Linked DNA regions of Zea mays. The protein of the gene in region 1 binds, or shares a complex with, the protein of each later gene. Links are inferred from orthologs where the notes say so. Each region holds a gene or a part of one and is shown on either strand. Other genes may lie near its edges.

Region 1 (4,428 bases):
GTTGTGCTTACACTAAATGAGAATCATAAGTATAACAATGAAACATCCAACTAAAAGAGAAAGAAAAGGAGGTAGAACCTCATTGAATAGGAGTCCACGTGTACTAATTAACTTAAGACTTATAACTACATAAATAAAGTTTCTTGTTAGTTTAATGAAAGGAATTCTCTCCTAACTGAACCAAATGTTATAGTAAAGCAAGAACTGGGGGCAAACAACATTGTACTAGCACATAGATCTCTTCTTCGGTTTAGGGGACCTAAACCGATTCAAGGACAATGGTGTTGCAATTGTGTCGGCCTATTTGGGTTTGCAAGGTGTAAAGTATACCAACTATACGGATGTAGAAACGTAGGGTAATACTTGAAATAATGAAAGACCCTAGATCGATGAATACTCTAAGAATTTATGCCTTGCAAATAACACTAGTACTACACTGCGAACCCTAGGTGACAAATCCGAAATGAATTCAACACATTCATGTACATGCAAACCAAATCCCTAGCAAATTCGACGGTATAATCGATGTTCTCGAATTCTCAAATTTGGTGGGATGACTCTATTCTGCATGTTAACTAAATATGAGGAACGAGGTGTTGATAAATCAACTCATTCTATTCTACAACCAAACAAAAAAATGAGTAATAAAAAGATGATAGACTAGATTATTCACCAAACAAACACCATACAGAGGAAACTTATAGAGTAAGACTCACTCCAACAGGTGCCAGCCAAATCTGGCAGCTATTTTGCTCTTTGGCTGGCCCCTCCCGAATGCCTGCCCAGCTATCCGCGACGTGCATCCAACAGCAGAGGAAAAAAGAAAGAATGAAGTAAGGCAAATGATTGAGGGGACAACTTGTCAGAGACAGGGGAAGAGAATGCCTGGCGCTCGAAGAGCAGGCAGAATGCCGTTTTCTCTCTCCTCCTGGTATTTTGGCTGGCGTGTATAGCTGTTCTGTTGGAAGGCTCAATTTTGAGCTACAATGCTCAGCGGCCAGTCATTTTACCTTTGCCTGCCTGGATAGCTGCTCCGTTGGAGTAAGCCTAATGTAGTTGCAAAAAAATATATATAGAGAAAATAATCTTACTGAGTTGACTAGAATATTTTTTTAAGTTCAGATGTAGAGTAGCATCAATAAGGAGTTAAGGACGGAACAGAGTATACTTTGCTTACATACAGACATACAGTGGAATACAGACCTTGGCCCTGTTTGGCACAGCTTATTTTCAGCTTCTTCACAAATTTAAGCTGAAGTCCTGCCAAACAGGCAGCTTCTGCAGCAGCTTATCAGTTCAGCTGCTTCTCAAAATGAACTAAAAGCAGCCAACAAGCAGAAGCTGCTTTTTACCAGCTTATCAGATAAGCTGCTTTTTCAACAAGCAGCAGCTGTCCCAAACAGGGCCCTTGTCACGACCAGACGATTCGAGTCGATCTTTCCAAAAAAAAAAAGACGTCTACAAACAATTCAGTAGATCGAGACTCCTGGTATGATCCAACGACGTCCCAGCATTTTTAGTTCCACGTGTCTCCAATCCACCTGTCTCTTACTCTCCCACCCCAATCCTCCCAAATCCTCACCTTCCCCTTCCCACTCGGCCACTCCTCATCAGCCATCCCCAAAAGGCCAAAACCCGCGCACACCGGCGACGGCAGGAGAACCTCCCGCCGGCCGCCGCCATGCCGCCGCCTCTACAGGCCCACCGCCTACTCATCTCCCACCGCCGCCTACCCACTCCAGCTCGCCGCCGGTTCACCGCCGCCTCTTCCGTCCAATCCGCTCCCGCCACAACCTTGGCCCCGGGCCCCGCCACATCCTCCATCCTCTCCATCCGCGAGTCGCTCCTCTCAGGCGAGAGGACCGCGGCGGACATCACCTCCGAGTACCTCTCCCGCCTCCGCCGTACCGAGCCGACCTTGCGCAGCTTCATCCACGTCGCGGACGCCGCCGCCGAGCGGGAGGCGGAGGAACTCGACCGGAGGATTGCCTCCGGGGAGAAGGATGCGGTGGGTCCGCTCGCTGGAGTGCTGGTGGGAGTGAAGGACAATCTTTGCACAGCCAACATGCCCTCCACGGGCGGGTCGCGGATACTGGACGGGTACCGGCCGGCGTACGACGCCACTGCCGTGCGGCGGCTGCGGGAGGCCGGCGCTATTGTGTTGGGGAAGACGAACCTCGACGAATTCGGAATGGGGAGCACCACCGAGGGCTCCGCGTTTCAGGTTGGCGGACCAGAACCAGATCCTCATGTCGTTTAAACAGAGTTTGCTGAAGTTTGAGCGTTGCCGATTGTGTTGACTCATGTTGAAATATGACGTTAATGTTAGCCCGATAAGACTCTGATCATGATCAGACCAGGGACAGTTCCAGAATCGTTAATGAGTACCATCTTAATATAGGCGGCTAGTTGCATGTCAGTATTGATGTTGAAATGTGGGGACTTCCCTCGGAGATGAACTGCGCTGCTAAAAATGTAGACACATGGTGATGTGTGATTATGACACATATTGTTTGGTGATATGCAGGTGACAACGAACCCGTGGGATGATTCACGTGTGCCTGGGGGATCCTCTGGTGGTTCTGCTGCTGCAGTATCTGCTAGGCAATGCGTAGTGTCACTAGGTAGTGACACAGGTGGAAGTGTGAGACAACCAGCGTCGTTTTGCGGTGTAGTGGGATTGAAGCCAACTTATGGCCGGGTTTCTCGTTTTGGTCTCATGGCCTACGCTTCATCGCTGGATGTTGTGGGATGCTTTGGTTCGTCGGTTTTTGACACTGCAACCATCTTATCTGTTGTTGCTGGCCATGACAAGATGGACGCAACCAGCAGTTCACAGGTAAAGAAACAGAGGCTAGAGGCTTAGCCTTAAAAGTACATTTGTATGATGTTTCCCATTTCAATCAGTAATATGTTTATTATCTGGTTGGGTTATAACATTATCTGGTACAGTTGCAAGTTGAACCACATGTTTATTTCTATTGTTGGCAAACATGTCTATGACCTCACATGTATTATTTGTTTTGTTGGGCTTCACAGGTTAGTTGTACGCTTGGACATCAGATTTCATTTCCATGTGATCGTGCCATGTTTTGATTTGGTTGTTAGTAATTGTATTAATATGGTTTGATTGGGATGACTTTTGCACTTTATTCTATCTATTTTTTTTATCAGTAATAAAGGCAGCACATGGGTTGTCTTCTTATGGTTGGAAAACAAATCACAGCATAACATTCACAAATGACTAAGAACAGATGTCAGGAGGATTATACTAGTCTGCCCCATACTCCCATTCTTATATATAGCGTTGATTTAATACATTTATATCATTAAAACTATGCAGCTGTCCTGTATGTTTGTTAACAACCCTTAACTTGTTTTTGTCCTTCTATTCTACTCTGCAACTGGATCATGATCCATTAGTGATTTGAGCATACAGGAAGGCATAACATTGATGTTTGGTTCATTGCTACTTGATCTCTTCTGTCACCTTTCCAGGTTGTTCCAGAGTACGCATCGGAGTTGGTCTCCCTAGATTTACTAGAATCGAAACCATTAAATGGTGTGAGAATTGGGATTATACAAGAAACTCTTGGAGAAGGTGTTGCCAGTGGAGTCGTATCATCAATCAAGGGTGCTGCTTCACACCTGGAGCAGTTGGGATCTGTGGTGGAAGAGGCTTGTTACTTTCCACTATCCTAAATATATATTAAAAAACACGTCCTTTTAACGGGATTCATGAAAGAAATTTTAACTGAACTTTTGTCTTCTATTGTATTTCAGGTTTCACTGCCTTCATTTTCTCTTGGCTTACCAGCATATTACATACTAGCCTCATCTGAAGCTTCTTCTAATCTATCACGCTATGATGGTATCAGGTGATCTTGCATTCTTGCGGTAGCTAATCCTTATCCTTACCCCTGTATATTCAAAGTATCATAGGATTTATACTGTGGAGTACTGTTTTCAGGTATGGAGGACAGGTCTCGGCGGATGACTTGAATGAGCTTTATGGAGAGTCCCGGGCTAATGGTTTTGGTCATGAGGTACAATATTCTCAGTTACTAATATATCATATATAAGTCCATACTCCACTAGTATACTCATAAGTTGTCTTTTCAATATTTATTCATGATCCCGTTAGATGTAGTCATGTAGCTTAGCACATTGACCAATCTGATTAGGAGCTGTCACATTGTGTAGAACTATGCACGTGTCCCATGTCATCACAGCTCAGGGATTAGTCATGCTGTACATAGATTTTGACTGACTTCTTTTGCTTTTTAATATTTTTATTATGATACTGTATATGCACAAAATCCTGGCTATTATTACAATGAAAAAACAACAATTATATGCTCCAGTGCTCCACTCCATTTGCAAAGAATATAAATTTATAATTTAGAAAACATATCCAGTTTCTCACTA
Region 2 (4,458 bases), on another chromosome or scaffold:
TCAGTTATTTGGAGATGCTTCTGGCTTCTACAATAGTGCACAGAAGTCCAGCATTTTTCCCATTAGGTGCCCCGTGGATACCTTATTGGAAGTCCAGACCCTGCTGCCCTGTGATGTTGCAGCCTTCCCTTGCCGGTATTTAGGTCTTCCTCTTTCCATTCATAAGTTAAACAGACATCATTTTCAGACTTTGGTTGAAAGGGTTGCTGATCGGCTGCCGCATTAGAAGGCGGATCTAATGACCAGATCAGGGAGAAGAACCCTTGTACAACATGTGCTTACAGGCATGTCTATTTATGTGGCAATGGCAGTTGACATCCCCCATTGGGCTTCGGAGACGATTGATAAAATAAGAAAAGGATTTCTCTGGAAGGGTAGAAAGGAAGTTAGAGGGGGGCACTGTTTGGTAGCATGGGGAAAGGTTTGCAGACCCCTTCATCTGGGAGGCCTGGGTATTTCTAGTCTCTAGGAACTCTGCTGGGCGCTCAGAATGAGGTGGTTGTGGCTGCAAAAAACTGAGCCTGGGCGCTCTTGGTTTGGTCTATCTATTCAAATTATGGCCAAGGCCCGGGCTTTCTTTTCCATGGTCCTGATTTTTGAAGTGGGAGACGGTGCAAACACCTTGTTCTGGACTGATAAGTGGCTGCATGGGGAAAGAATCTCTGAGTCGGCCCCTAGGCTTTTTGGCATAATTCCTAACAGTGCGTTTGGATGTTGGAATTTAGACTCGGAATTCAGAATTGGAATTGACAAACCCGAATTCTGGTGTTTGGATGGTCACAGTATTTGGAATTGGAAATCCACCAAATTCCAGCCGGTATTCAACTCTACACACGCCTCCACTCTCCAATTCCGACCCTCCACCCTCTGATTTGCTCGGAATTGAACTGGATTTGGTATTGGATCCGATTTCCAAAGCCAGGCTGATTTGGTATTGGATCCAATTCAATTCCACCATCTCCAATTCCAACATCCAAACGGAGCATAAGAGATTTGCTCAGAAACGAACTGTACAAGAAGCTTTATCCAATGGTCAATGGATTGCTGACATTAGGGGGGGGGGAGGCTCACTGTTGAAGCTTTATCAGGTTATCTTCGTCTCTGGGAGATGCTTTCTGGTTTTGAGTTGCAACCTGACAGGGAGGATAAGCATATTTTCAGCATTGCTTCAGATCGTAGATACTCTGCAGAGTCTGCCTATAAAGGTCTTTTTATGGGATCATGCTATTTCAGGCATTATAAGCGAGTGTGGAAAACATGGGCTCCACCAAAATATCGTTTTTTTCATTTGGCTTGTTACCCAGATCAGATGCTGGACAGCAGATAGACTCGCCAAGAGAGGATTAAATCACCCAAGCAAATGCCCTTTATGTGATCAGGATTCTGAAACTACAAATCATTTGCTTGTCACATGTGTTTTTGCAAGGGTTTTCTGGTATAAGGTGCTGAGAAAGTTTGGTATGTACTCCTTAGCTCCTCCTTTTTGGAATGGTGGGAAAATGCCTCAGAGACACTAAATGGGCTCTGCATGAAAGGTCTCAACTCCCTTATCATCTTGGGAGCTTGGTTGACCTGGCTTCATCGTAATAGGTGTTTTTTTTGACAATGGGTCTCCTAGCCTGCCTTTAATCCTCAAGCAGTTTGAAGATGAGAGGAGTTTGTGGGAGGTTGCTGGTGCCAAGGTATTATCCTCCCTGGCAGCCCCACTTCCTGCTACTTGAGGGAAGGAGGCTTCTTAGTCTTTAGTAGTGTCTGTGTTCCTATGGACCAGTTTATATATGCATGTTTCTGGCCTCAGTAAGGATTCCTTAGTTTACTTTTGTATTTTTGGTCTTCTTTTGACCATGTATCCTCTCTTCTTAATTTATAAAATGGTGCAGTCCTCCTGTGCATTCGAGAGAAAAAACTTAACTGTGGCAGAGCTTGTGACATTTGTGGTGTTCTGCCACAGGAACTAGATGTGGTCCATTAACATGTTCATATTGCATTGTTCACTAGAAAAAATAATGCTGCCATATTCATCTTTTAAAAGCAGCGTCCCATTCATCCTAGAAAGGTGCCTTCATTGGTGCAAGGGTGTTGGCCTTCAACTTTTCATGTGTTTTCTACTCAACATCTTCTACAACAATTGGCAGCTATATTGTTTTCATGGTGAAGTTGTGAGAACGATGTGTATATCTGGATGACTTCAGGGATGAGTCTCCTCTAACTTAAAGTGAGAGGGACTTAAATCGCTGACTTTAGAGGTATCATAGTAAGATATATTGCAATCTGCACAAGGTACTAACATTACTCAGTATCTGAATCATCCAACGCATTTCCAGTCTGAAATTAGCAATGCACTACGGCATGTGTTCATTGGTCCCCCAATCAAAAAAAAAAATACAGACTAAGAAACTATCTAAACCCACGGCAGAGCATTCCTAGTAGAAAGACTACACCGTCTCGCAGAATTTTATGAGCTGCAACAAGCACTACAAACCGCCCCTTCAATCATCCACTCGCGAGAAGAAGAGAACAGGTAGCAGAAACTTACCAATCCACAACCTGACGAATCTTGGGCTCGAAGTCCTCGGCCTGGCGATTGAGCACACAGAGAACACAAGCAAAGCGTCAGCCTCTCATGTGCACAGAGCATCACATGTTTGGCATCAAGAGAAAGAAAGCAGGACGGCGACTGACCTCCTGCGGGGAGAGCGAGATGCGCGCGGCGTTGGCTAAGCGGGTGAGGTCCGGCGGCTCCAGCTCCCCAGCCCCCGCAGCCGCCACGGGCGTTACGTGGCTGGAGGACGAGAGTGGCCGCGGCCAGTGCGTCCTAGCCGACGGCCGCCTCAGCCGCGGGCCCGACGCTAAGCGGAGCCTGGGTATGGCGGACGCAGCGGCGGAGAGCATGGCCGGCCGGCGTCGCTCGCTGGTCGCTGCTGCCTCCGGGTCTGGCTAAGATTGGAATTGGATCGTCGTCACCGATGCGGCCTCATCGGCTCATCCCATCTCATCGTTTCGCGCGGTGCGGCCCGGCCCACTCAAAGCGGCCACTGCCCAGAGCTGAGAACCCCCCCTCGTCGGTTTGGGCCTCTCCGGCACATTGAATTTACCAAAATAGATCACTCTACAATGAATTTGTAAAAATAGGTCAATCGAGTAGATCACTTCGTCAAAATACACATCCGGATGTTTAACTAGTCTGATAAGTGGGCATGTATCCCTGTTGGACCGAAATATCTCTCCCTTTCCTTAGGGTATCTGCACTGGCCTACAGAAATCCTTCCGGTAAACGCGCATACAGGTAACTGGAGCTTAAAAATATGTGCAACGGTTTCCGCTATAGCTCTCTATATCCTTATGCATCCACAATATTGCGTCAGATATAGCGGACACCAATAATTACGATAGAAGTCTTATCCATATCTAGAGATGGCAATGGGTACCCGCGACCTGATACCCGATAGGTATTTACTCCATTAGGGTATATATATAGACTAAATATTATACTCGTGGGTTTATTATTGGGCAAAAATCTCCACCCAATGGGTAAACGAATATTAGAACGTTCCGTCTTCACCCATACCCGTTAACCCGTGGGTATAAATACCCAATATAAACTTAGCCCAAGCATGAACTTGTACTTTAGTCATTCATCTTTTTTACTATTTAACAACCTTTTAGACCATAATGTCATAGAAGACTTAATGACAATTTAATGACCATGTAATGGAACATGTAATGTGCTATGTAGTACTATCCTAGTGTTACTACTTTATCCAATTATCTTTGGTGTGTTGAATGGATGGTTAAATGATGCTAGAAAATTTTGTTATGGTATTTATATGGATATACTTGACATTTGTATAGTATAATATTTTGATAGATGTTTAATTTTTGTGGGTACGGGTGACCCGATGGGTGACCCATACCCACATGGGTATGGGTATGGGGGTAAATTCATACCCACCAGTGTATGTGGGTGACCTAGTGGGGTTATTTTTGTGTCGTGGGTATGGGTATGGGGTAGTAATACCCGGTGGGTATTTACCCATTGCCATCTCTATCCATATCAAAAGTACGTGTTGTGCACAAAAAATATAGAATTTCGATCATAATAAATAGAATATGTAATAATTGATATAGAGGGGATATAGAGAGAGATATGGGCGCAGAAGATTGTAATATATAGTAATGAATTTTGATGGGAAATGTATCTGGTGCAAACCAACTCCTTCGTGCAACCGTGCAAACTTCTAATCTAAACCACATGATGTTGATCCAAGGGACGCAGAGGTGTGGATAATTTTACACTTAATCGTCCGCTGCTAATCACACCTTTTCAAATCCCCCTCCCACTCCTCCGCACGTCCCCTTGGATCAACATCATGTGGTTCAGATTAGAAGTTTGCACGGTTGCACGGAGGGTTGGTTTGCATTTTGATGACTAGACTATAAAGGGTAATATAGAGTAAG

Evidence for each region.
Region 2: glutamyl-tRNA(Gln) amidotransferase subunit A, chloroplastic/mitochondrial (region 1) and Glutamyl-tRNA(Gln) amidotransferase subunit C, chloroplastic/mitochondrial share a complex: the UniProt entries of both Arabidopsis thaliana proteins name them as parts of the heterotrimeric GatCAB amidotransferase (AdT) complex. The link is inferred for Zea mays from reciprocal best matches to the Arabidopsis thaliana genes AT3G25660 and AT4G32915.

What each region holds. Positions count from the first base shown.
Region 1 is NC_050097.1:6,254,890-6,259,317, forward strand, and holds the start of glutamyl-tRNA(Gln) amidotransferase subunit A, chloroplastic/mitochondrial, read left to right. Parts: upstream 1-1,623; 5' UTR 1,624-1,681; coding exon 1,682-2,224; intron 2,225-2,527; coding exon 2,528-2,839; intron 2,840-3,498; coding exon 3,499-3,678; intron 3,679-3,783; coding exon 3,784-3,878; intron 3,879-3,970; coding exon 3,971-4,046; intron 4,047-4,428. UniProt on the Arabidopsis thaliana protein: Allows the formation of correctly charged Gln-tRNA(Gln) through the transamidation of misacylated Glu-tRNA(Gln) in chloroplasts and mitochondria. The reaction takes place in the presence of glutamine and ATP through an activated gamma-phospho-Glu-tRNA(Gln).
Region 2 is NC_050100.1:16,521,745-16,526,202, forward strand, and holds the start of Glutamyl-tRNA(Gln) amidotransferase subunit C, chloroplastic/mitochondrial, read right to left. Parts: upstream 2,961-4,458; 5' UTR 2,893-2,960; coding exon 2,683-2,892; intron 2,578-2,682; coding exon 2,537-2,577; intron 1-2,536. UniProt on the Arabidopsis thaliana protein: Allows the formation of correctly charged Gln-tRNA(Gln) through the transamidation of misacylated Glu-tRNA(Gln) in chloroplasts and mitochondria. The reaction takes place in the presence of glutamine and ATP through an activated gamma-phospho-Glu-tRNA(Gln).